Linked DNA regions of Coturnix japonica. The protein of the gene in region 1 purifies or fractionates together with the protein of each later gene. This does not show direct contact. Links are inferred from orthologs where the notes say so. Each region holds a gene or a part of one and is shown in the gene's direction. Other genes may lie near its edges.

Region 1 (4,034 bases):
AACTGGGTCTGTTTAGCCTTGAGAAAAGAAGGCTGAGAGGGGACTTGATCCAGGCTTATAAATACCTGAGGTGTGGGAGCCATAGTAGTGAGGCTGGTCTCTTTTCAGTAGTGCGTGGGGACAGGACTAGGGGTAATGGTATGAAAGTACAGCATAGGAAGTTCTGCACGAATGTGCAGAAGAACTTCTTTACAGTGAGGGTGACAGAGCACTGGAACAGGCTGCCCAGGGAGGTGGTGGAGTCTCCTTCTCTCGAGATATTCAAGACCTGCCTGGATGCCTACCTGTGTGACATGGTGTAGGGAGCCTGCTTTGGCAGGAGGTTGGACTCGGTGATCTCTAGAGCTCCCTTCCAACCCCTACAATTCTGTGATTCTGTGTGAAACAAAACAGCAGCAGTGAACTAAGGGAGAAAAGTAGTTAACTAAATATGATAATGAATGTGAGATAATATAGTATATATAATAATATTTGCTTTCAGTTCTCACTGCTCTAGTCTGTTATCAGTAGACCACAAATAACACAACTCTCCCCACACCAAGCGTGCTTTGCCTGAGTCTAACGGGCAGGCTTTGCCCCCATCCTTATCTCAACCCACAAGCCTTCTTTCATCATGACTACCCCCACTCCTGAGCTATTCACACAATCATACAATGACCTGGGTTGAAAAGGACCACAGTGATCATGTAGTTTCAACCCTGCTGATGTGTGTAGGGTTGCCAACCACCAGCCCAGGCTGCCCAGAGCCACATCCAGCCTGGCCTTGAATGCCTGCAGGGATGGGGCACCCACAGCCTCCTTGGGCAACCTGTTCCAGTGCGTCACCAACCTCTGTGTGAAAAACTTCCTCCTCATATCTAACTTAAACCTTCCCTGTCTCAGTTTAAAACCATCCCCCTTGTCCTATCACTATCCACTCATAAACATCCATTCCCCCTCCTGTTTATACGCTCCCTTCAAGTACTGAAGGTCACACTGAGCTCTCCCCACCACAGTCCGTTCATCCACCCAACGCAGGGTCTGAGGGACCTGAGGTAAGTAACAGAGATAACGGCCATAGCACAGACCGCACAGCGCCACAATGATGGAGAACGGCGGTTACACAACCAGCCCGACCGTTGGAGGTGTCCCGCTTTCCCATTGGCCCATGAGACCGCACCGCTGATTGGCTCTCCCTCCGCACCGCCCACTTTCCCTCTTGATTGACAGCACCTCGCGCTGTAACTGCGCGAGAAGACCAGAGAACGCGCTGTGATTGGCCCGCGGCGCTGACGGACTCGGTATATAAACCCCGCGGGAGCATCGATCCCGTTAGCCCTCGGGTAGTTGTAGGCGGGGTTGTTGGTGCGCGCCCTCTCGTGCTGCTGAGGGAACATGGCGACGCTGAAGGCCGTATGCGTGATGAAGGGGGACGGGCCCGTGGAGGGGGTCATCCACTTCCAGCAGCAGGCAAGGCCCGGCAGCGGGGGGGGATCTGATCGTACTCTGACCGGCAGCGGTGCTGAGTCATCGTGCGACCGCGGGTCGGTGCGGGATGGGGGCGGGGCCGGTCATGGTGCCTGTGGGGGAGGGAGAGCAGCGGGTTGGGGTTGGTTTGAGTTAAGGAAAGGGGCTGCACCACAGGGCGGTGGGTATGGGGCGGGATGCACGGGGCTGTGGGCACGGCCCCAGTGCTGGAGATCAGGGAGAGTCTGGACAACGCTCTCAGGCATACGTTGTGATGTTCAGGGCTCGCTTCCAGCTCAGGTTATTCTGCACTGGTAGCTGGTTTTTGTTATTGACCTGGAAGCTTTGCTTGTAATGAGGCTCTGTGATGCTTTAGTGGTGTCAGTAGTAATCAGCTCTTTGTGTTACAGGGTAGCGGACCGGTAAAGGTTACTGGCAAAATTACTGGCTTGTCTGATGGAGATCACGGCTTCCATGTGCATGAGTTTGGGGACAACACAAATGGTAAGGTGCCTGGCCAAGCTGCTGAGTTACAGCTACAAGGAGCTGCTTCTAGTGGCACAGCAGCAACCATCTTCAGCATGCGTATGTTTTATGACTGCACATTTGAAACCATGATTCCTAAGGCACATTTGAAGCACATTTGAAACCATGATTCCGGTGGTGCAGTGGTAGAAGTGCCGCTCTGCTACACAGGAGGCTCGAATCCCGGGGGTTGGACTTGATAATCTCTAAGGTCCCTTCCAACCTGCATGAGACTGTGATACTGTGAACTGATTCTTACAACATTCTTTGAACGCATTTAGGCTACTCTTCAAGGTCTGGTATGTCAAGCACTGGCCTAAGTACTTCTTCTGACCTAGTTTTTAACCTGGTGTTAAGAAATGGAGAAACTTTCATCTGGCAGAGATTATTCTGGAATGAGTCACGTGGATTTGTTGAACTTGGAGTAATGTTTGTGTGTTTATAGATCCAGCTGGAGAGTAGCTGTTTCATCATTAATGATTTTAACTTCCTCTCACTGTAGGAGAACTAAGTTCACATGCAGTATAAGCAATGCCTTTATCTGCTTATTGTGATGAATCTACTTTTGGTGGTTGTTCTTTTTCAGGGTGTACCAGTGCAGGTGCTCACTTCAATCCTGAAGGCAAGCAGCACGGTGGACCAAAAGATGCAGATAGGTGAGTGTCATGGGCATGACCTAATACTGTGCAGTGCAGTAGTTGTGTAAGTTCAGCTTGAGAGGCTGATGTGTGACTAATTGCTAGGATAGTGCTAGAGGAAAACTAGCAGTTCCAGCAGGACTTCTGAGGGCAGTTAGGAAGGTACTTGGTGATCATACAGCAGTGCTTTAGATACCCTGGCTCTAAGAGTGTGTGCAAAATGCAGTCTTTGGCGCTCTGGTCTTATCATAGCCTGGGGTGAAGGGGAAATAATAAGGGCTGTTAGTGAATGTTCATTAGGAGATAAGTGAGAAGGGGAAGGAAGGTCATGTACTAATACCTCTCGTGGTGCCTTGCTTCTCTTTTGGAGCTAGCTATTGACAGCAGTGGCCCTATAAATGTCTTGTGTTGAGCTGTGTGTAGGCTTGTCATGTGGTCTGTGAGGATCCTCACTAGGGCTTTGGGGAGGCTGCAAGATGGGCACAACACTGAGTGCCTGGCACAGTGGATGTTCATTTGGTGTGCTGGGTTTTTCTTAACACCTTACCGTAGGTACCATGCTGCCTATGGGATGTATTCTGTAGGGGTTGTGTGCTGGCTGTAAGTACTGGTCTGTTGGCACTGAATGCCTCTGCCCTTGCTTCATAGCCCTCTGTCAGAGGAAGCTGAGACTGAATTCTTACTGGGAAGCAGTTAAATAGCCCAGTTACCTTTGGGGGACCTTTAGTGTCTGAGGGGTTTGTGTGGTGTCTGAGACCACTGAGCAGTTGTTTCAGTAGTATGCTTCTGGGTTCTGAGACTGGGAAGGTGCTGTTGTCATGCTGGTCTTTAGATCTTGTGCAAGTCTTAAAGGTGACTTGATCATTCGGAGGTAGGTTCTGAACAATCACTGTGGTTAATCTGGCCGTGTTGGTCATGGTTTTAGGTACTTTGCCTGTACCTGCAGCTTCTGTTATTGATCAGTTACTTGTCAGATGAAGTAAGTCGAGTGGTAGGTGTCTGGATGAAAGCAGTGTGCAGTGGTAGCTGAAGGGCTTCACAGGCAGCCGGGTGCTCTAATGCTAAAGGTCAGTTACGCGAGCAGCGTGCTTCTATTGATTCTCTGTCAGATCCTGCTGCTGATGTAACCTGCCTGCTCAAGCAGCTGTAGGCTGGGGACTCTGTGTGAAGGTTTAAGAACTAGGCCGTGCTTCTGTAAGGCTGGAGCTGAAACCAGTACTAAAATCTCCTAGAAGCTTAAATAAGCACCCAAAGGGGAAACCGCCCTTGTCCTTATTCTCTAGGACTGAGTTAAAAATACAGAGTCAGCACTATCTTCTCAGGAAGCAGGTGGTTGGCAGGTAGCTGGAAGGGCTGCTCACCCTGTGAGCATGGACGGGTCTAGGGACAAGCTGGTGTTTGAGGCTCCATCAGCTTCAAATGGGT
Region 2 (4,140 bases), on another chromosome or scaffold:
AGTTCGGTGATCTTTGCTCAGTAATAAGATAAGGTTAATTTTAGGCCTGTTGGAGCCTACGCACACAAGAAGAAAATAAAACAATATATTTTGAAGTAGGATATCTATTGGATATGTGTATATGTATATACATACGTGTATATTGGATATGTGGATATGTATTGGATATCTATGTGGCAGTCACACCAGCTAACCTTTACCTAGTGCCGTCTAAAATGAACTCTGCACTTTGCTACTGTCAGGATTGGCTCCATTTCTTCCTTCTTCCTGGTAAATAACCTATTCCAAATTTAGTATCTCTTCTGTGGTGTCTTTTTTCTTGTTTGTAACAATTAGAACAGCAACCAAAAAAAGATTACAACAATTAATTAATTAAACAATTAATTAATGGAAGAATGTTTTACCTCCCCGGGTCAGTTTCAGGTGCTACTGACCAGCTGGCATTTGCCCAACGAGCATGGCTATGTTACAAACACACTATGTTTCAGTAACATAGTGTTACTGAAACAAGTCTTGAGAACAAGGGCACATGTTCTCTTAAATAGTATGCACCAGAGGTGTCTTCCAATAGGAAACAGCAACATAATATCCATGGTATAACTGTTTATATTTGAAATGTGGTTTTTACCTTTTCAAGCAATGTAATACAGCTTCTGAAACAAACTAGCACTGACTGCAGAGCAGAAATCCTTGCAGAATGCAGAGCACAGACACGCATTTCTTGAGAACAGAATTCATTCTTTTTGTTTTCCGTGGTTTTAAACTTCTTTTTGCACAGATTATGACTTCTAACACTTCCAGAGCTTTCTAGAACACACATGTAATATTTAATGTACCCAGCTAAGGCTGCAGCTTTAATTATTTCAGCCTCCTCCTGTTCAGAAGCACTAAAGACAATGTATTTTCTGATTCATAGCTGGTGAAGTCAGTATTTTAAGCTGAAGTCTGTATTTCTCGAATGAAGAATGTTGTGCTCTTTGAGCGTGTATTACAGAACTGTGAATTCTTTCTTGAAAAGAAATGGCATACAGCAGTTCTGCTACAGTTCTTCCTGGCTGCAGATCACACTTGATGCAGTGATATTCTTTTATAAGCGAGGACAGCCTTGGAATAACTTTGTCTAACAGGCTTTGAGCGATGGAAAAGCTTGAGCTGATCCCTCCGAGCGCTGAGGGGCGGCTTCCACACGCACGGCCTACCATGCTCAGATGTGAAGAGCCGCAGTTTCCTGCCTTCTAGCACATGGGAGCGAGAAATGGCTCACGCTGAGCCTGCCCACAGCCGACAGAACCCTCCTCCCTCCGGCAGGAAGCGATGTACCGGCCTAAGGAGGCGGGGCGGCCCGGCCTTCTCTTTCTCCCCGCCCTCACCGCACCCCTCTCTCTCCGCACGGTCCCGTTGAGCGCCGCCGTCCCTGCCCGGTTTTAGCAGCCGCTGCCTCGCGAGTCTCGCCGCCTTTATTTCGTCTCCATGGAGGATTACCACAAACCCGACCAGCAGACCCTGCAGGCCCTGAAGGATACGGCCAACCGGCTGCGCATAGGCTCCATCAAGGCCACGACCGCGGCCGGCTCGGGGTGAGTGGGGCTGGAAACTGCCTCCAGGGAGCAGCTCCTTTCTTTTATCAGTTCCTCCGGGTCGGTGGGAGGGTTAATGCGGTGTAGGGAGAGGGTGAGGATGGTACAGCGCGGAGGACCCCGGCGTGCCCCGGTGCCGGAGCGGTGCGGCGTGGAGATGCTCTGGCTGGAAATGGCGGCCGTAGCGCGGTGTGGGGATCCTGCGGCTCACGGCACAGATCAGCACCGCCCGGGGTTGGAGGCTGAGGGACACTGTAGTACTGTAGAGTACTGTGTGCAGGTGTGGAGCAATCAGTACTAAAAAGACATGGAGATTTTGGAAAGGGTCCAGAGGAGGGACACGAAGATGATCAGGGGGCTGGAGCACCTCCCCTATGAGGACAGGCTGAGGGAGCTGGGTTTGTTCAGCTTAGAAAAGAGAAGGTTGCGGGGTGACCTCATTGCAGCCTTTCAGTACCTGAAGGGAACTTACTCCCAAGAGGGGAGTAAACTCTTTGAATGGGCTGATAATAGCAGGACTAGGGGAAATGGTTTGAAGTTAAAAGAGGGAAGAATTTAGGTTGGATGTTAGGGGGAAGTTCTTTACTAGGAGAGTGGTTTGGCCCTGGAACAGGCTGCCCAGGGAGGTTGTGGATGCCCCGTCCTTGGAGGTGTTCAAGACCAGGTTGGACGGGGCCCTGGGCAACCTGATGTAGTAAAGGTGTATGTTTGGTGGCCCTGCCAGGCAGGGGGGTTGGAACTACATGATCCTTGAGGTCCCTTCCAACCCGGGTCATTCTGTGATTCTGTGTGATTCTGTGACACGTCGGTCCCCGATCCCGGAGGGTGTTGTGACTGTGGGCAGTGGCCGGGAATGCCGAGTTGATGCAGGGCTGAAACCCAAAGAATTCATGCCCGAGGCGCAGAGCGGTTTCTTTTTCATTTCGTGCCCGTCAGTTGGAACTAATTCTCCACAGAATTTCAAGTGAGCCCAAGTGGGATTATCTGTGCAATGCCCGCAGTCTCCAACTGGTGGTTTATTCAGGCCTCTGGACAGGATTTAGTCGAAGCTCTGATGTCTGCAGATTCCACGGTTATCCTTCCTTTGATCGTGCTTTACCTATGGAAAGAAAAAATCTCTGTAAACAATCCACTCTTACTCATGTAATATTAAAGCCATTTTTTATTTTTTTCTGCTTGAATAATACATTTGAGCGCTTCCACGTAGAACGCAGCCTTTTATATCCCATCCTGTGGCAATTTCCTCCCTTTTGGGGCCTCTTTGTAACCGGCAGTAGGTGATTTTATTGCTGTTTTATTGGTTTTTACTTATTTATTTTTCAGCTGAAGGAATCCTTTGGGCGCTGAGGTTTGAGCGGAGAAAGGCGGTCTGTATAAAAACCATTTCCAAGCTTTCTCTTGGAACCGCCTTACACCTCCCGCCCGGCTATGGCCTCACGTGGTTTCTCAGCACACACATAGAAACTGAACTTTACTCGCGCCTTCTGCATGCAGCAAGCAAAAACCTTGCTCTGGTTCTGCCCATAGAACCCCCTGGGGCACGGCAGCCACTGCTGCAGTAGGACTGTGCTGAGCAAAGCTTGGTCAGTCCAGGGTGCTTAATGCAGCTGAGGCTTCAGTCTTGCTGCTCTGCTCTGTGTTGTAGGCCAGCCATGGAGCTGTGCAGCACTGGTTGTCTGCAAGTCAACCCATCTCTGCTTTGTGCCAGTCATGAGCAGAGATCTTGCTACAGCCTCTTTTCAGAGCACAAAATCCAAGCATTTAGTACTAACACTGTTTTCCCCATACTGATGAAGAAATAGCATAAATAGCTTTAGTTTAGCTTTTTATTCGTGTGTACTGTGCTACTGAGCACTTCTTTACAGAGGTATTTCATTCATTCATTAGTAGAGCTTCTTCTAACACTATGTAAAGTCTCACGGAGCCTGAAATTATTACACAACCTGATAATTGGTAGATTATGAAAGATGTGCTCTGGGGGGAGGATTGTGCTGTCAAGTCATATATTTTCTTTAACGTTGGATTTTGTTAGCAAGAGGGTAGTGGTGTCGTAATGTGTCTAAAAGGAAAAGAAATTAAGAATCTGATGCAATATCAGATGAGGAATTTCTAAAACAAACGTTAGGGGGATGTGTTTTCTCAAAGTGTGAATGAGGCACTAAGCTTTACTTAAAGCACCAGTACAGTGTAAGAAGGCAGGGTAAATGTTTGAATGAAAGTTAAATTTAAACAGGCTTACAGTTTAAAATAAAAACAAAACCAGTAAAAAAACCCAACCGCTTGCATTGACTTTGCCAAGGAAGCCAGTATTTGTTAAAGGTGTCGTTTGTAAAAGTGAAGGAAGTGCTTGCAATAAAAGCACTTCAAACAAACCAGAACCTGCCTGCTTCTTTCAAGGAAGTGATTTCTTTAACTGTGGCATGTGTTGCAAGTGGTTCAGTGGCTGGTCTGACATGCTGGTTCTTGTGTTCTTTACTTGTACCTTCAAGAAAATACAGCCTTTGTTTGGACAAGGGCTAAAAGATCAAATGATCCGGTCCTTATGATGCTCAAATAGGTAATT
Region 3 (3,360 bases), on another chromosome or scaffold:
TTTACAGCAGGCCAAGATCAGATTTGGTGAAAGAAAAGGCTTCTCAGTGAAGGATCCCTTTGCTTCTCAATTCACTTAGCTGTGCTGTCCCTAGAACAATGTGACAGATAGGTCACCCTCTGTTCATCAAAGCTTTATCTGTCTGTTTAGGGACCTTACGATGTCGTTGTCCTGCCTGGAGGTAACCTTGGAGCTCAGAACTTGTCAGAGGTAAAGTCCTGGGATCAAGCTGTCAAGCTGTTTTTCTTTGTAAATCTTGTTCATGAATTTGCAGTAGAAAATGCCTCAACTGTGCTTCAACCCAAATAATCAACTCAAAGCAACGGCTTCTTTTTATCTTTTACAGTCTGCTGCTGTTAAAGACATTTTGAAGGATCAGGAAAGCAGGAAAGGCCTGATTGCTGCAATATGTGCAGGTGGGTTAGTAACAAGTTTTCCTTTGATAAATACTTGGGTGTTTGAAAGGACAGGCAGGCGGGTATCCTGCCTTAGAAATTTATATTCTTGTAACTTAGTTACAGAAATTTGCTCTACAAACCCATCAGCATTTGGATTTTCTAGTCATTTGGGTTAGTGTCTTAAAAAGTGACAACTAATTTGCTGGGTGTAGTGGAAATGCTGTAGTGGCCTGAAGCAATGATGGAGCACATGGTGGGAAGGCAGAGCCAACCCAGGGGAGCTCAGGTGCAGGCAATGTACTGGGTGATTGGATTGGGTGGAGTCAGGATCCAGCCCTCATTTAAGGGTTCCCAGTGGAGGTGGGGGTATCTCTCTGGAGTTCCCTGTGTACCTGAGGTCTTCTTGGTTTCTGTGAGTACAGTTGCCACCTCTGAGTAAATCCTCACTTGCTGCAGTCTGGGACTTTGTTACTCTGCTGTCATTGCTGACCTTTTTGTTGTGTTACAGCATTACATTTGGTTTTTAGTTTAGGGATTTTTGGTTTGTTTTTTTTTTAGTATCTGGTTATTTTCTCTGTGAGGACGCTGTGCTGGCTGAACATCGTTACTATAAATTTGTCTCATGACTCCTCTTCTGCCCTTTAGATTCAGCAGGGTGGCTGAAAATATAGTGTTACAGGCTCACCTTCAAAGGAGTGGTACTAAAATATGGAGTTACTCTACAGTGAGGGTTGTCTGCTTACATGTTCTGCACAGCTAGATATCTAGTTCAGTTCTTTATGTGGTTTGTATTTAAAGAAAAAACAAGATGAATAAATGCCGATATTCCCAGCTGAACAGAGAGAGTGGTCTATGTAGGGGAGAATGAGGAGAGTGATGATAACTGTGTAGGAGATGCTCTAACGGTGTGTGTTTGCAGCATGTGTTTGTGTTTTGTCTGGTGTGTGGCTGCTTTTTATTTTGTTTTCGTTCTTCAGTTGAGCAATACACATGAATTTGTGAGCAGTCCTAAGTGTGGCTCTGGTGGTCTTTTCCTTCTTTACCCGTATGTTGCAGAACAATTCATTTATTTTATGTGTAGTGCTTTTCAGAACTTTTCCAGCTGAACACGAGGGAAGTTATTTCCTTGTTGCTTCATTTTCTGAAATGAATCAGATACGCAGAAATGACACTTGAATCAGCCAAATCCTGCATTCAGTTTCTTCTGGAATTCCCATAAGGATTTTTTTCTTGGGTGATCTAAGACAACTTTACACAAGTTTCTTCCTCAATTCAGGCAAGGGAGGAAGTGATGGAAAGAGAAAGAGAATGTAAAAACTGGAAGGTTAGCTGTTAACCCATAGCTGTCCAAAATGCTGCTTGGTGCACAATTCCAGCACATAAAGGCCTTTTCAAATGAAATTTTATCAGATAATCCTTACCAAGGCTGTGAGATTTGAGCCCCTGGATGCGTGTTCTTATGTTTGTAGCAGATAAGTTTCTCACTGATGTGTGTGTGTCCTTACAGGCCCTACTGCCCTCCTGGCACATGGGATAGGATTTGGAAGCAAAGTCACAACACATCCTTTGGCCAAAGATAAAATGATGAATGGAGGTATGTAATTAATGTTATAGCTTTATTTCTAAACTCGGAAAGTATTTTGTCCTAACTCTTCATTTAAAGAAAAGTAAATAACGTTTGCATCTCATTCTGTATCTCAGAGTTTCCTTAGTGCTTTCATATGCATAATCAAAATTCAACAGCTTGCAGATAGGTGCACTTATATGCCATGTGAACAAGCTGGCAGAACTCCCTGTAGGGCCTTTTCCTCTCTGAGGACTGTAGGCAGCGATGAGTTGCTTGGTTCTGCAGGGACAGGGATACAGAGCCCAGAGTGAGCTTGGCTCATGTGAGTCATTGAGGTGTGTACTCAAGAATGCGATGCTGTTGGTGGAGCTTGCTGCCCCTCAGTTGCCGTAGCCTGTGAGCAGGCAGGTCTGTGCTCTGTGTCACTGGAATGGAGACTGACCCTCTTATTGTTGTGTCACCCCTAAGCTCACTACTCCTACTCCGAGAGCCGTGTGGAGAAAGATGGGAACATCCTCACCAGCCGTGGCCCTGGTACGAGCTTTGAGTTTGGGTTGGCCATTGTTGAAGTACTGATGGGGAAGGAGGTGGCTGAACAAGTGAAGGCACCCTTAATATTGAAGGACTGAAATGCTGTTGTGGGACATGGAGTAGAACAATTTCAGGTGGTGAGTCTTGTCCTTTGTAGAATAACTGAGATGCACAATGTAGTTGTGGATGAAATTAACAGCTGTGCTCACCTAAATTAGGACATCTCACCAGTGTTTATTCCTGGAAGAAAACTCTGTTAGCAAAGACCTTCACTATCATTAGCAACTAAATAATCTTAGATCCTGGCATTTCAAAATCGCGTGGACAAATGTTTGCTGATTAAATAAAAATGAAACAACCTTGATTGTTTGTTGCTTCTTTGTGCGTTTTTTCCCCAGTCCCGAGCAGGGGCTGCAGTGAGTAACTTGCTTATCACTAGTGTCTGGCTCACACTTCTCTGTGCAGTGTGATAATCCGACTCAGTGTGGCACAGACTGGTGTGCCCTTCTCTGGAACTGGGAATTTCCCTGGTCTTAAGGCATTAAGGCTGTTTGCTGTGTAGGTTTGGTTGTGCCTTTTGTTTTCTGGAAGGACGCTCAGTAGTGCTGGTTTTTCTCTTCAGCTTGTTGTGAGATTAAGAAACTACATCGATCATTTCTTTTTTGTTTTTAGGGGGTTCAGACCTGATGGTTGTAAGCGTAATGTTTTGTGCATTGATGGCTTCAAAGTGTTTTGTCCTGGTGGCTCTTTGTGTATCTGAATTCAGGGTGGGATTGTTTGGCATCTTTCTTTTTTCCTCTGATGTTTTTCCTCTGTGCAATATATTTGCACTCTTTTTCCTTTGCAGCTTTAAGGTGCTGACAT
Region 4 (4,280 bases), about 25 Mb from region 1:
GTATCAGTGGCAGCAGCTCCCACAGAGCTGAAGGGGAGCGGGGAGGAAAAGGAGAAGGGTGGCAATGTAGGGGCCTAAACCCTTCAGCATGGGGATTAGTTGGAAGCTGATAAGAGTGAGGCCAAGGAGGTGCTGTCAAATGAAAGACAGGAAGGACTGTGCTTCTTTCTCCCATATTCTGATCTTTGGTCTCATTGAGAAACCAAGTTCCAATCCATTTGCAGAACTCTAATGCCAATGCAGTTTTGCCCCTGGTCTCTATAGGGAGGTGGAATTCCTGCCACTACCCATGCAGCATACCTGAGCCAAACGAGCTTGGAAGAGAAAAGGCTCAGTGGAAGTTGTCATCTCGTGTTTCATTGCACATTTGGCCTCAAGTCACTCGCACTTGACTGGGACCCACGTTTAAGTTATTACCTAGGAGAGCTTCCATCAGATCTCTGAGTTCTCTAGAGGGCTGTGCACTGATCTGTGGCACCTTTATCTGATACCTCTTCTCTCTTCCTCACAAGAATATCAGCTGTTTGCCTTCATCAGCCACATGGGCACTTCGACTATGTGTGGTCACTATGTTTGTCACATCAAGAAAGATGGCAGGTAAGAGGGGATTTGACATAAGCGGTCTCTGAAGTACGGCTTTAAGCCACTGTTCTGCCCTATTTCTTCATGTGGTGGCGAACAGAGAGAAGCGAGCTGGCAAAGAGGCTCACGTAGCATCTTTGCCGTACAAAAGGGGGAAGCTGAGGAACGCTGTTGTGTGTTGCAGGTGGGTGATCTACAACGACCAGAAGGTCTGTGCTTCTGAGAAGCCCCCCAAGGACCTGGGCTACATCTACTTCTATCAGCGGATCCCCAGCTAGAACAGCCTCTCGCTGTGTGTGGAGGGGGGGAAAGCGGGCCCGAGGCAAGGAAGGGGAGGGTGGGGGCGGTCAGAGCAGGGCCCGCCTCCCCTGCTCCTCATACCCGCTCTTCCCTTCCCGTCCTCGCAGTGGGACGCTCAGGGGAGCCGTGTTCCACGCCGGGCTGCGGCCGGAGCCCCTGAGGTTGGCAGCGAAGGGGGTTGTGAGGGTGGGAACGTCCCTTCGCTCCCTGCAGCCGCTGCTCGGCTCTGCCGCTGGGGGGGACGCCGGCTGCCGGTGTCCCGCAGGGGCAGGTTGTGCATGTGGCTCGGGCCGTGCTTTCTGCCTGCCCTCCCGGGGAGGGGGCAGCACGGGAAGCGGCGCGGGCCGTGAGCGGTGCCCCCTCCCTGCGTGCCCTTCACATGCCAAAATACACGAGGGACAAAATAAAAGTCAAAATACGGCCTTGTCGGTGTGTTCTGTGCAGCTGCGGCCCCGGCAGCCCCAACTCGGGCACTGCTACGAGCTTCAGGACGGAGAAGGGAGGTGACGTGCCTCTGAGAACGGCCGCAGCCATCCCCAAACGGAGGCTGCCAGGGCCCCGGGGGTGGGAGGGAGGAGCTACCGGGGGTGGGAGGAGCTACCGGGGGGCTGGGCCTCGCGCAGTGCCGGGCTATAAAACCGGCCTCCGCGGGCTCCGTGCTGTTGCCGACCTTCCCCCCGTGCTGGTGACCGTGTGCCCCCTTCGGCCCCGCCATGGCTCCTAGGAAGTTCTTCGTGGGCGGCAACTGGAAGATGAACGGCGACAAGAAGAGCCTGGGCGAGCTCATCCACACGCTGAACGGCGCCAAGCTCTCGGCCGACACCGGTGAGGGAGGGAAGGAGGGAAGCAGGGCGGCAGGGCGCGGCCGCACGTAGCGCACGTCCCGCGCGGCGGGGCCCGGCCGGGGCACGGGAAATGTCAGGGGGCGGCCGGGGCCGAAACCGAACCCCGCGGCGGGGCTAAAAATACCGCGACACCGGATCCCGGCCGCTGAAGGGCACGGCGTCCAGCCCCCTACTGCCGGATGCGGGCGGCCTCCGTCCGCCGGCGCCGCGGGGATCTGCGGGCCCGGCCCCGCGCGGATCCTGCGCTGGGCGGTGAGGGGCCTCTGCGCGGCATCGTCCCCCACGGCCTCGGCCTGCAGCCCCTTCTCTGTGCCCGGGGTCGGGGCCATGATGTGGGGGCTGAGGGCACCGTGCTACTGGAGCGGGTTCCCGGAGCGTGCCTGGCCTTCCGAGCTGCCATACCCGCTGTAATCCACGTGTAACCCGACGCTGCCCTTTTCTCCCCGGTTCAGCCTCCTCGGTTCATTCCTGCCCGGTTTCTCGGCTGGGATCTTTCCAAGGGATTCTGCGAGGCCTGGCTTTCTGCCCGACCCCCCCCCACCCCCCCTCTCTTTCTGACCCCTGGAATGAGTTTCCCCTCTGCTGTCGAGTCATCAGATAGTAGGGAGGATGTTCCGACTTGGTGTGGTCCCCAAATGTCAGCGAGGGCAAGCTGAGCCTCCACCAAATGAGGGGCATGAGAAGGGGGAGGGGTGGCCTCTCAGGGCTGGGCTATGGGGCCAAAGGTTGTGTGCAGTTTGTTTCCCTTGTCCTTCCTATGGGTGACTTTTGTGCCTTACAGAGGTGGTTTGCGGAGCCCCTTCAATCTACCTTGATTTTGCCCGCCAGAAGCTTGATGCAAAGATCGGACTTGCAGCACAGAACTGTTACAAGGTACCAAAGGGTGCTTTCACAGGAGAGATCAGGTGAGCCCAAAATGAAGATTAAAGCCAGCACTGCTTTGCAAAGTGAGTTTCATCAGGTGATGCGAGTCAATACCTTCATCTGCTTTCTCATCAGCCCAGCAATGATCAAAGATATTGGAGCTACATGGGTGATCCTGGGCCACTCAGAGCGGAGGCATGTTTTTGGAGAGTCTGATGAGGTGAGAGCCTGGAGCGGAGAGGTGGTACCCAACAGATAATGCTGTGAAGGCTGGAGTGAGCAGTTGGAGGGAAAGGTGGGTGATACAGGAGCAGGTCTGACTGCCGCTTACCTTGTTTCCATCCCCAGTTGATTGGGCAGAAGGTGGCTCATGCTCTTGCTGAGGGCCTTGGTGTCATCGCCTGCATTGGAGAGAAGCTGGATGAGAGAGAAGCTGGCATAACGGAGAAGGTGGTCTTTGAACAGACCAAAGCCATTGCTGGTAAGGGAAGATAATTGACTCTTATTATTATTATGGACAGCTGGGAAGTAGCCATTTTGGCCATAACTGTCTGTTCCTGGCCTTCAGATACATAGCTACATTATTAACAAACAGTGGTCAGGTTATTAAAAGGTCTGCCTGTTCCAGGAAGCTTTTTTTCCAGATCGGCCCTTCCCAACATGAGGTACTGCACTCATGTCTACTTTCTTCTTTCCTCTCAGATAACGTGAAGGACTGGAGTAAGGTGGTTCTTGCCTATGAGCCAGTTTGGGCTATTGGAACTGGTAAAACTGCTACTCCCCAACAGGTAACAGCAAGGGCAAGGTGACTGATGAAATGAATGTGTGACCCCACTCGAGGTCTCCCTGGAGATGGAACAAGGTTCCTTCTTTGGAAGGGAGCTGTATGCAGGATGGTTCAGACTCCGGTTCCTATTTCATTTCAGGCTCAGGAAGTTCATGAGAAGCTGAGAGGCTGGCTCAAAAGCCATGTGTCTGATGCTGTTGCTCAGTCAACTAGGATCATTTATGGAGGTAAATGAGTCTAGGCCCTTTGAGGCTGCACTTACTTTGCTCACTGCTGTCGTACAGCATGCTCTGCTCTGCTGATGAGGAAACATGAGACTTAACATGAGCATGAAGAACCACTTACTAGCTTGGGAGACAGTCTTACCGTTTACAGAATAAGAGGTGGCTGGTACCTTGCAGGTTTTACCTCCTGCGTTATTGCCATTTTGGATTTGCTATGTCTGAACTCTTAATCCTGTTCCCTCTTCAGGTTCAGTCACCGGTGGCAACTGTAAGGAATTGGCCTCTCAGCACGATGTGGATGGCTTTCTTGTTGGTGGGGCTTCTCTCAAGCCAGAGTTTGTGGATATTATCAATGCAAAACATTAAAGCAGCCTGTGAGGAGCAGTCCCTTACGGTTAACAGCAAGAAACTGAAGCAAGAAGGGACCTTTTGTTGCACGTCTCTTGGTACAGAGGCTTCTTCTGAGGCTTTCCCCCACCACCACAATTATTGTTGTAGCTGTGCTGCTAACCCCCACCACCTTGTTGGAGTCCCATTAGTGTGAACCCATCTTCCTTTCTGAACTGGCAAAATCCTCGGTTATCTGGCGAGCTGTTAGAGCCCACAGTCAACCTGGCTCTTGCCTCTCTCTCTCTTTGCAGACCTGCAGGGAGGGAGGGCCACTAGTACTGGGGGGAG
Region 5 (4,096 bases), on another chromosome or scaffold:
TCTCAGGGAGATTAAATTCCTGGAAGTTGCTTCACAACATATGAGTAAGAGAAATAAGCCTGTGTTTCACATACTTACACATGAAAAAGCTATCTGCTGTCCTTGTCAATTATCAGAAGGTCCACACAGAGAAGAAAATGCAAAACTGTTTTAATTACATGATTGTGCACAAAGCAGCTTGTTTAAAGGGTGACATCAAGAAATAAACGTACTTACTACAGCAGGCCTGCTGTTACAGCATATAGCTCCCTACCAACTTCAGTTTGTCACCACTTGCTCAAAGAGCTTACTGATCTCTCAGTTGTGCTAAGGAAATACATGAAAGAATCCAGATTTCCTAAATATGCCCCCAAAACACGACCAGCAATGGACACCATGAGCAGCTCCAGCAGCACAACAGTGAAGATGGTCAGAGAGGGGAAGGGCTAAGAGCACATCAAGAAGCTGGAAGCCTGTGCCAGAGCTTGGACTGCATGTACAGTACAGCCTCTGGGAAAGCCTGACGAGACCACTTCTACACCAAGCTGCTTGCTGCAGGGACTCATGAGTGTTAGGTGCCTATTTGGTATCCCATAATAAGGAGTTTATTTTTACCTAAAATATGATAAGATTAAGTACCATTTTGCCATGATTGAACAGCTTCCATCCAGATTTGCAACCAGTGGCAAGGACTCATCCTGCTGTGAAAAACAATTCTGCAATAAGTCACAAAAAGAGTGAGGCTTTTTGCAGGGAAGCAACCTTGACATCACAAGAGCATCCTCTCCATACCTCATTTCTTCTGTTTCTTGTATCCAGAGCGTGTGTCTCCACAGCTGCCTCCTGAAAGAATGTTGGTGGCGCTGCAGAGGCACCACAGGAGCAGTGTGCAGCTGAGAGCATCCTGCTGCTGTCCTGTGTCACCTGAGCAAGGGCACTAGCATGCACGGCTCTCGTTAATCATCTAATTAGCAGTGCCTTCAAGTCAGAATGCCTCCCCACTGGAATTTTCAGCTTCCAGGCACATGCCTTGCCCTCCAAACACCTCACGCCTTCCAAGATTTACAGTGGGACCTGTCAGAATTGTAGGGGCCAGAAGGGACCCCTAGAGATCATTAAACCCCCTTCAAAGCAGGGCCCCTAAAGAAAGGCTGCACAGGTTGGCGTCTAGGGGTGTTTGTAAGCATCTCCAGAGGAGAATCCACAACCTCTCCGGGTTTGCACACTTCCATTCCGCAGAAAGCACTTCTAACAGGTTCTGCTAAGGCCGAAACTGCTTTCTGACAACACTTCGCTGTGATGGAATCCTCTGCACAAACCCCTTCTCGCTCTCCACACCGCACAGACCCGTCCCGGCCGTCGCCGCCCTGAGGTGCGGGTCTCCCCGCCGTGGGGCGGTACGGAGGGCGGTGCGCCGCGGTCCCGTGATGGCGGAGGCGGAGCGGCGGGCTCACTCGGCGGGGCCTCTGCCGGCCGCATTGCTATGGTCAGAGCCATGGGAGTAGCTGGGTTGCTCCTAGGGCTGCTCCTCGTCCCCGCCGTGCTGCTGGGCGCCAGCTTCGGCCGCGGAGAGCCGCCCCCCGACCTGCAGCCGGAGCCGTCCGAATGGGGGACGGGATCGGACGCCGTCTCCGAGGACTCGCTGTGGCCGCTGCCGCAGTCGCTCCGCACGTCCCATCTCCGGCTGCAGTTGGCCCCCGAGCGCTTCCAGGTGGTGCACGGCGCCGGCTCCTCAGCGGGACCGGGCTGCGGAATCCTGCAGGACGCCTTCCGCAGGTGAGGGCAGGCGGCGGGGCGGCAGGGGCTTCACAGGGGCGGCAGGGGCTTCATAGGGGCTTCATAGGGGCTGCAGGGGCGGCGGGCTCCGGGGAGCAGCTCAGTCTCCCTGAGCTGTGCTCTCCCCGCAGGTATTACGAGTACATCTTCGGGCGCTCCCACTGGAGGAAGCCGCACCGAGAGTCGCCGTCTGCACAAGGGGAACTGTCGCAGTTGCAGGTGGTGATCGCCTCCCCGGAGCCCGGCTGTAACAGCTTCCCGCACCTCGCGTCCAACGAGGCCTGTGAGTACCGCGGTGTCGTGCTCAGCCTTAACGGCCAGCGCAGAAGTCAGACGGTGATTTATTTTTTCCTCCTTGGAAATAATAGGCTCACGGAGGCTTGTGAGGACACAGCAGCTCATACCTAATCGTGCTGTTGTGTAATTGAGAGCGCGCCAAGTCATGACATTAGTCAGTGGCATCATGTGTGATCTCCTCAACATGTAGTGCTGGGTGAAGGAGCAGCTGAGTGCGAGTTGTAAAAACGCTTTCATTTTGCCAACAGATACAAGGCAGGATTAACAACGTGATGGTTACATTGGATTTGTCCTGCTCTGATTCTCCACAGCTGACATCCAGATTGGACAAACACTCTTAAAATGAACTCCTAACCACTAGTTCTTTAGTTTCTTATCACAGTTATCATGGGAAGCAGCAAAGTCACTAATGCTTCAGCACTTATGGTTAGCTTATTACATTGCCTTACTACTAGCTGAACTTCGGACAGCCATGTGAACTTCAGTTCTTAATGAAAGCTGATTCTTCTTTTCTGTAAGGAAATCATTCACTTGCTGCATTGAGCAGTTTATTGTTGTTCTTTTCTAAACAGAAATGGTATGGTTTAGTCAGTGGCTGTCTCATAGTGTGAGGGCGGGCACATGAGAATCTAATGAGGTTTAACAAGGCCAAGTGCAAGGTGTTGCACTTGGGTTGAGGCATTCCCGAATATGAGTACAGGCTGTAAGAAGAACTCATTGAGAGCAGCCCTGTGAAGAAAGACCAATGGGGCCTAGTGGGTGAAAAGCAGTGTGTGCTTGAAGCCCAGAAAGCCATTGATATCCTGGGATGCATCAAAAGAGGGATGGCCAGCAGGGAGAGGAAGGGGATTGGCCCCCAGTCCAGGAAGGATGCGGAGCTGCTGGAGCAGGTCCAGAGGAGCACCATGAAGATAATCAGAGTAATGGAGCACCAGAGTAATGGAGAAAAAAATCAAAAAGGGAATCTTGAATATCTTAGTGCCTGATAATGTCTTGGCAATCCTTGCCTTCTCTAGGAATAACTCTTCTTCCCTCTTTTTAGATCATTTAACTGTAAGTGAGCCTGTGGCTATACTGAAAGCAGATGAAGTATGGGGAGCTTTAAGAGGTAAGCTGATGCTTTCCGTACAGAGCTGTTTTTGTTCTAAGCTTATACAGACTGCATGGCAGAGTTAAGAACCAGCTGACTGCTGAGGCATGCCCTCATTCAGGCATGTGGGGGCCTAAGGTACCAAAATGTGCACTGCACACTCCTTCAGTCTGTGTGCTCAGTATCCCAGATCCAGTGGCACACCATAACTGCCTGATTGCTGTATGTGAAATCAGCCAGGCCAACCAGATCCCGAGTGCTAAAAAAATCTCTCTGATCTGTAGTGTCAATAAGTTGTTCTGTGACTGCACTAATAACAACATGCAGGTCACCATCACCAAGAGAACCATGATGCTGAAGTCTCAGTCTGCATTTCTTACTGGAATGTTATCTAAATTAGCAAATTTTTAATGCTGAATTGGAAAATTCACCTGCTCCAGAAACGGCAGGAATATGTGTATGATAATAACAGACATTCCTACCTCACTCTCTGTTGTTATCATTCTGTCAAAGATTAATTTGGTGCTTCTGAGCCACGATAATAATTTCCAGTGCTTGTATATAATGGAGAGTTTGATCTGTTCTCTTTTTGGTACTTTGTTAACTTTCTTGCTTGAGCAACAAAGGCAAATGTGATAACAAGAAACTCAATAATAAGGCATTCTTTCTTGCTATCTGCATTCCCGTAAATAATTTGGGTCTTGTTTTTAACTAAAATTTTAAGGAATATCAGTGTGGTGTATTCTGGATTTCTTTCTTTGATTTTCCCAGGTTTGGAAACCTTCAGTCAGTTGGTTCACGAAGATGATTATGGAAGTGTAAGTATAGTTGTTAGCTGAAAACACGGTCTGATAACAGACAGCCACATTCTTTATTCCTCAAGGAACAGTAGATAAACAGGTTTCATTAATTACTTATTCAGAAAATAATGTTTGGAAAGCTGTTAACAAACTG
Region 6 (4,225 bases), on another chromosome or scaffold:
CATTTCAGAGCTGGCTGCAAGCTCAGCATTACGCCTTGAGTGTTTCCACTTTGCTGCTGGTAGGAGATGAAAGGATACAAAGCTGTAATTTGGCCCGATAATAAATAAGCGCTAATGTAACTGTTCCCTTTGGAAGGAGTTAATTATCTACCACGCCGTTAGGGGCAGTAACTCGAGCCAACACGCGGTCGCCCCCTTGCCGTCCTTAGTGCCTAAAGGAAGGCAGGCGCCCCTCACAGGGAGCAGCGGCCCGTCCTCCTTTGTGCCCACGGGATCGATGTGAACATGGCCACGCAGCTCTACCCACGTGCAAGTAACGGGACTCCACGCACACTATCGTCGCCTATCGCCACGTTTTAAGGCACGCCCGCAATAGCAGCCCGTCCCGCCGTTACCTTGGGCCCCATGGTGACGGCTACGGCATCTGCCAGCAGATCCACCCCCTGCAGCATCAGGGCCCGCGCGTCCGCCCCGAACTTCACATCCTTGGCGTAGGCCCGAGTCAGGTGCGGGGCGAGCGCTCGGGATACCGGCCTGATCTGGCGGAGTACGGCGGGCAAACGGAGCATGTCTGGGGGGTAAAACCCGATGTTAAAGCCATACAGATTTAAAGCAGCACATGGTCCGCCCGCAGGCCGCGCTCGGAGCCACATGCCCACCCGTCCCCACAGCAGGACGCGCCGCAAGGTCAGAGCCCGCCGCCCCCTGCCGGCCACAATGCAGCCGGCCGCAACACAACGGGGCTGTGAGGAGCCATAGCAGGGCTGCACACATATACACACACACACACACACACACACACCGGACCAGGCGTGCAATGGGAGCAAGGCCGCCCAAGTCAGCACGCGGCGCTCCCTCAGCACCACCACATCGCTGTGAGGAGCGGCCCGCCCCAGCACAGCACGGCTCAGCACAGCTCCGCACGGCACAGCACAGCTCAGCTCGGCTCCCCACTGACCTGCGTTGTGCCGGCGGCGCGTCCCGTAGCGCTGTGTGTGCGTTCTCAGCTCTCCGCTCCGCACGGCGCTCAGGGCGGCGCGCACTCACACACTCACACACTCCCTCACATGGCCCCGCCCCCGCCGGGCACACACTCATGCGGCCGAGCCCCGCAACCTGCATAGCGTCTGGGTCCGCCCATAGAGGAAAAAAGGATCTAGGCGTACGGCGCGCTCTGCGCATGTGCAGGAGGCTCCGAGCATGAATCACCCATGTTCCGGGGCTCGCCAATTCCAGAACCTTCTGGAATGCCCATGCTCGCCCCGGGTCAGAGGGCGGCTGACTTCACTTCCGGGTGGCAGCACCACCCCGGTCCCGGCCCGGCCCCGAACCGAACCGCCACAGCACCGAGACACACAGCGACACACCGGGACACACAGCGACACACCGGGACACACAGCGACACACCGGGACACACACCGGGACACACACCGACACCGGGACGGCGGATAACGGAGCCGCGGCACCGGGCGGCACGGCTGGGGGCGGGGCGGGGCCAGGAGCCAGGGTCGGCGGCTGCGCATGCGCACGGGGTGACCTTCCTCACGTGTGCTTGGAGCGGCGCGGTCACTCGGAGCGGAGCGGGACGGAGCCGCCATGGTGAGTGAGTGTGTGAGTGAGTGTGTGAGTGAGTGTATGTGTGTGTGTGTGCATGTGCCCCCACAGCCGGCACCGCGATTGACCACACGCTCGGCCGCGGCCCCGTGTTCCCGGCCCTGCGCTCCTGCGTGGGGCTGTGCCCGCTGCTGCGCCCCGCCCGTCCGCAGGGCAGTAGGCCGCACTATGGGGGTGTCGGCAGCTTGGTGCTGCTGGAGGGTAATTGATGGTGATTGATGGTGATTGATGCGGCCGGTGGGGCTGTGGGGGGATGGAGGCAGGCAGGGATAGAGCGGGTGAGCCCTTCGTTGCAGTCCTGCCTTAGCGCCCTATGGACGCTCGGTTAGACCGGCCCGGAGCTGGGAGTGGGTTTGCAAGGTCACCGAGTCCTTGGGGGCTGCGTTGGGGGCCGCAGGAGCGGGAGGGAAAACGGAGCTGCTGGTGCTGTGCTCTGTAAGCTGCTCCCATCCAGGGCTTCTCTGCAGGAGCCCTAAGGGCACAGCTGTCCTTGTACCTGCGTCAGTGTATCGTTATTAAGATCCTTATAAAATTAGGAAACGTAAAGTGGCCAGCGCTGGAAAGGACCACGATGATCATCTCGTTGGTGAGAGCAGGCAGAAGGACACAGTGTTACCTGAAGCTTAGGCACAAAGTGGCAGCATTCTGCGTTCTGATTGCAGTTGAACAGAACGTTTGGTTTCAGGGAATCTAAAGAGAAAGAGATCAGCACTGGTATTTTCTTAGAATGAACATCATCCCGGTTCACAGTCATTTCCATGTCTTGCATCATTCCAGTAATAGCAGTTTAGCTGGGGATGCATCTCTCACACGTTGCCTACAGCTTCGTTTCCCCCTAGTTTTAAAGCTCCAGTGCTGATCAGTGTCAGTGGAGGGTGCCCAGCTGCCAGGCTGCTTCTAGCCATTTCAGTGAGCCCAGGGTACCTGCCTTGCATCACACTGTCTCCATGTGGCTTGGCAAGGCTCCATAGCTTTCCTCCTAAACCACAGCAAATTCCTTTTCCTGCCCCTGCTTAGCAGGGTGCTGTGCTTGCCTTCATCTCCTGTGTGGGAGCTGGAGTGCTGCTTCCATTCCAACTAACAGCAGTCTTCATTTGGACTTCAGACTTGATTAATTCTCTTACATCACCTGAAATGCCATGCCTTTAAACTGCCCAAAAAAGACAGGCACCAGCTACAGGCCTAGACTGACAGTTTGTTACTATAAAATACTCTGCTACGGTGAATGAAAACGCAGCTGCCCTCAGTCTTGACTGAGTTCTGTCTTTGTGATCACCGAGCTGTTCTCAGTGAGCCGCTGTTCTCAGTGAGCCGTACTAAGTAACGGTTTAGGATTAGCCACATGTGGCTCCTGCTCCACCTGCTGGAGGCTCATTCCCTCAGCTGGAGCGAGGAGCCTTAAGGGCACAGAGTGCCCAGTGTGAGCAGCTTGGGAGTGAGCTGCTTCTGAAGAGCTTGAAGCAGTCATAGCACAGCTCTGCAATGCAATCACAGGTGGTATAATTCGCTTCTATGGAAAAGAAGTGCTCAACTTTCTTCTTGTTCTCTGACACCCACTTAGTTGTGGGTTTTCTTGCTTTAGATGCGCTTTTGTTCATCTGTTTTTCCTTTAACGTTGTGCCCCTTCACAGGCAGGAAAAGCATTTAGGAAGTTCCTTCCCCTGTTTGATCGCGTTCTGGTTGAACGATGCGCAGCAGAGACTGTAACCAAAGGAGGCATCATGATTCCAGAAAAAGCTCAAGGGAAAGTGCTGCAAGCAACAGTGGTAGCAGTTGGATCTGGAGCCAGAGGGAAGGTAAGAGTCTGATTGAAGCATCAGCTTGAGCAGCTGGAAAGTGGTAGCAGGAAAGGGATGGCTGCAGAGTACGTTGAATCATATAGCACAAAAACTGAGAGGGGTGATTGAAGGTGGAAGTGCAGGTTCAAAGAAGAGGTAGAAGGTTTCAGTTCCCCTGCCTGGCTCTGGCCTTGAATTCCAGTCTTCCTTTGAACATCTGCAAAATGGAAAATGCTTGCTTTTTGAAACCAGCTATTGATAAGCATCCTTAAACAGTGAATGGTTACGTGCTTTTCTTTGTTGTTCTGCACGTGGCGTTCGCTGTCTTGTCCAAAAAATCATTGCCCATAAGAGTTGGGCTTAATGTACAACAAAAAATCAGGACTTGGTAGAAATAAATGCCAGTTGAGCTTGCTTAAGCTTTGACTGTTGAAGATCCTGAAGGAGACCTTTTAATGTCTTTTCACCTTCTTAAAATGCCCGTGGTTAGTGGCTTTGCTACTGGAGGATCTTTCCCCCATCTAAATAGTGGTCAGTTAGTCTCAATGGCAGAAAGCAGGTTAACGTTTAACTTGAGTGTGTTGACTCAGACTTTGCCTGTGAGTCTCTCCAAAGATATCGTGGGGTTTCTTTTTGTCTCTGTGTCTGCTTTTCAAAGCAGGATATTGCAAAGTGGTTCTATTATTTGACTTGTTTGCAGTATGGAGCAATTGTGCCATTACCTTTCCATTGAACTGGAGTAAAATGAAGGGTGTTTATTTTCTTCCTTTCAGGATGGTGAGATTCATCCAGTGAGTGTCAAAGTTGGTGAAAAGGTTTTGCTACCAGAATAC

The links.
Region 2: the proteins of SOD1 (region 1) and TKT purify together in Homo sapiens (affinity purification with mass spectrometry; 3 studies listed by BioGRID, with this or other methods). This does not show direct contact. The link is inferred for Coturnix japonica from reciprocal best matches to the Homo sapiens genes SOD1 and TKT.
Region 3: the proteins of SOD1 (region 1) and PARK7 purify together in Homo sapiens (affinity purification with mass spectrometry; 4 studies listed by BioGRID and IntAct, with this or other methods). This does not show direct contact. The link is inferred for Coturnix japonica from reciprocal best matches to the Homo sapiens genes SOD1 and PARK7.
Region 4: the proteins of SOD1 (region 1) and TPI1 purify together in Homo sapiens (affinity purification with mass spectrometry; 3 studies listed by BioGRID, with this or other methods). This does not show direct contact. The link is inferred for Coturnix japonica from reciprocal best matches to the Homo sapiens genes SOD1 and TPI1.
Region 5: the proteins of SOD1 (region 1) and HEXB purify together in Homo sapiens (affinity purification with mass spectrometry; 3 studies listed by BioGRID and IntAct, with this or other methods). This does not show direct contact. The link is inferred for Coturnix japonica from reciprocal best matches to the Homo sapiens genes SOD1 and HEXB.
Region 6: the proteins of SOD1 (region 1) and HSPE1 purify together in Homo sapiens (affinity purification with mass spectrometry; 3 studies listed by BioGRID, with this or other methods). This does not show direct contact. The link is inferred for Coturnix japonica from reciprocal best matches to the Homo sapiens genes SOD1 and HSPE1.

What each region holds. Positions count from the first base shown.
Region 1 is NC_029516.1:94,144,695-94,148,728, forward strand, and holds the start of SOD1 (superoxide dismutase [Cu-Zn]), read left to right. Parts: upstream 1-1,234; 5' UTR 1,235-1,374; coding exon 1,375-1,449; intron 1,450-1,856; coding exon 1,857-1,950; intron 1,951-2,557; coding exon 2,558-2,627; intron 2,628-4,034. UniProt on the Homo sapiens protein: Destroys radicals which are normally produced within the cells and which are toxic to biological systems.
Region 2 is NC_029527.1:4,946,905-4,951,044, reverse strand, and holds the start of TKT (transketolase), read left to right. Parts: upstream 1-1,340; 5' UTR 1,341-1,470; coding exon 1,471-1,577; intron 1,578-4,140. UniProt on the Homo sapiens protein: Catalyzes the transfer of a two-carbon ketol group from a ketose donor to an aldose acceptor, via a covalent intermediate with the cofactor thiamine pyrophosphate.
Region 3 is NC_029536.1:196,701-200,060, reverse strand, and holds the end of PARK7 (protein/nucleic acid deglycase DJ-1), read left to right. Parts: intron 1-150; coding exon 151-210; intron 211-346; coding exon 347-416; intron 417-1,905; coding exon 1,906-1,992; intron 1,993-2,433; coding exon 2,434-2,594; 3' UTR 2,595-2,860; downstream 2,861-3,360. UniProt on the Homo sapiens protein: Multifunctional protein with controversial molecular function which plays an important role in cell protection against oxidative stress and cell death acting as oxidative stress sensor and redox-sensitive chaperone and protease.
Region 4 is NC_029516.1:69,555,449-69,559,728, forward strand, and holds the start of TPI1 (triosephosphate isomerase), read left to right. Parts: upstream 1-1,480; 5' UTR 1,481-1,595; coding exon 1,596-1,707; intron 1,708-2,508; coding exon 2,509-2,632; intron 2,633-2,726; coding exon 2,727-2,811; intron 2,812-2,939; coding exon 2,940-3,072; intron 3,073-3,293; coding exon 3,294-3,379; intron 3,380-3,517; coding exon 3,518-3,605; intron 3,606-3,849; coding exon 3,850-3,968; 3' UTR 3,969-4,280. Other genes in the region: USP5 (ubiquitin carboxyl-terminal hydrolase 5), read left to right, coding at 513-597, 767-860. UniProt on the Homo sapiens protein: Triosephosphate isomerase is an extremely efficient metabolic enzyme that catalyzes the interconversion between dihydroxyacetone phosphate (DHAP) and D-glyceraldehyde-3-phosphate (G3P) in glycolysis and gluconeogenesis.
Region 5 is NC_029547.1:22,141,720-22,145,815, reverse strand, and holds the start of HEXB (beta-hexosaminidase subunit beta), read left to right. Parts: upstream 1-1,296; 5' UTR 1,297-1,462; coding exon 1,463-1,755; intron 1,756-1,886; coding exon 1,887-2,038; intron 2,039-3,094; coding exon 3,095-3,160; intron 3,161-3,913; coding exon 3,914-3,960; intron 3,961-4,096. UniProt on the Homo sapiens protein: Hydrolyzes the non-reducing end N-acetyl-D-hexosamine and/or sulfated N-acetyl-D-hexosamine of glycoconjugates, such as the oligosaccharide moieties from proteins and neutral glycolipids, or from certain mucopolysaccharides.
Region 6 is NC_029522.1:4,972-9,196, reverse strand, and holds the start of HSPE1 (10 kDa heat shock protein, mitochondrial), read left to right. Parts: upstream 1-1,425; 5' UTR 1,426-1,596; coding exon 1,597-1,599; intron 1,600-3,245; coding exon 3,246-3,410; intron 3,411-4,165; coding exon 4,166-4,225. Other genes in the region: HSPD1 (60 kDa heat shock protein, mitochondrial), read right to left, coding at 396-569. UniProt on the Homo sapiens protein: Co-chaperonin implicated in mitochondrial protein import and macromolecular assembly. Together with Hsp60, facilitates the correct folding of imported proteins.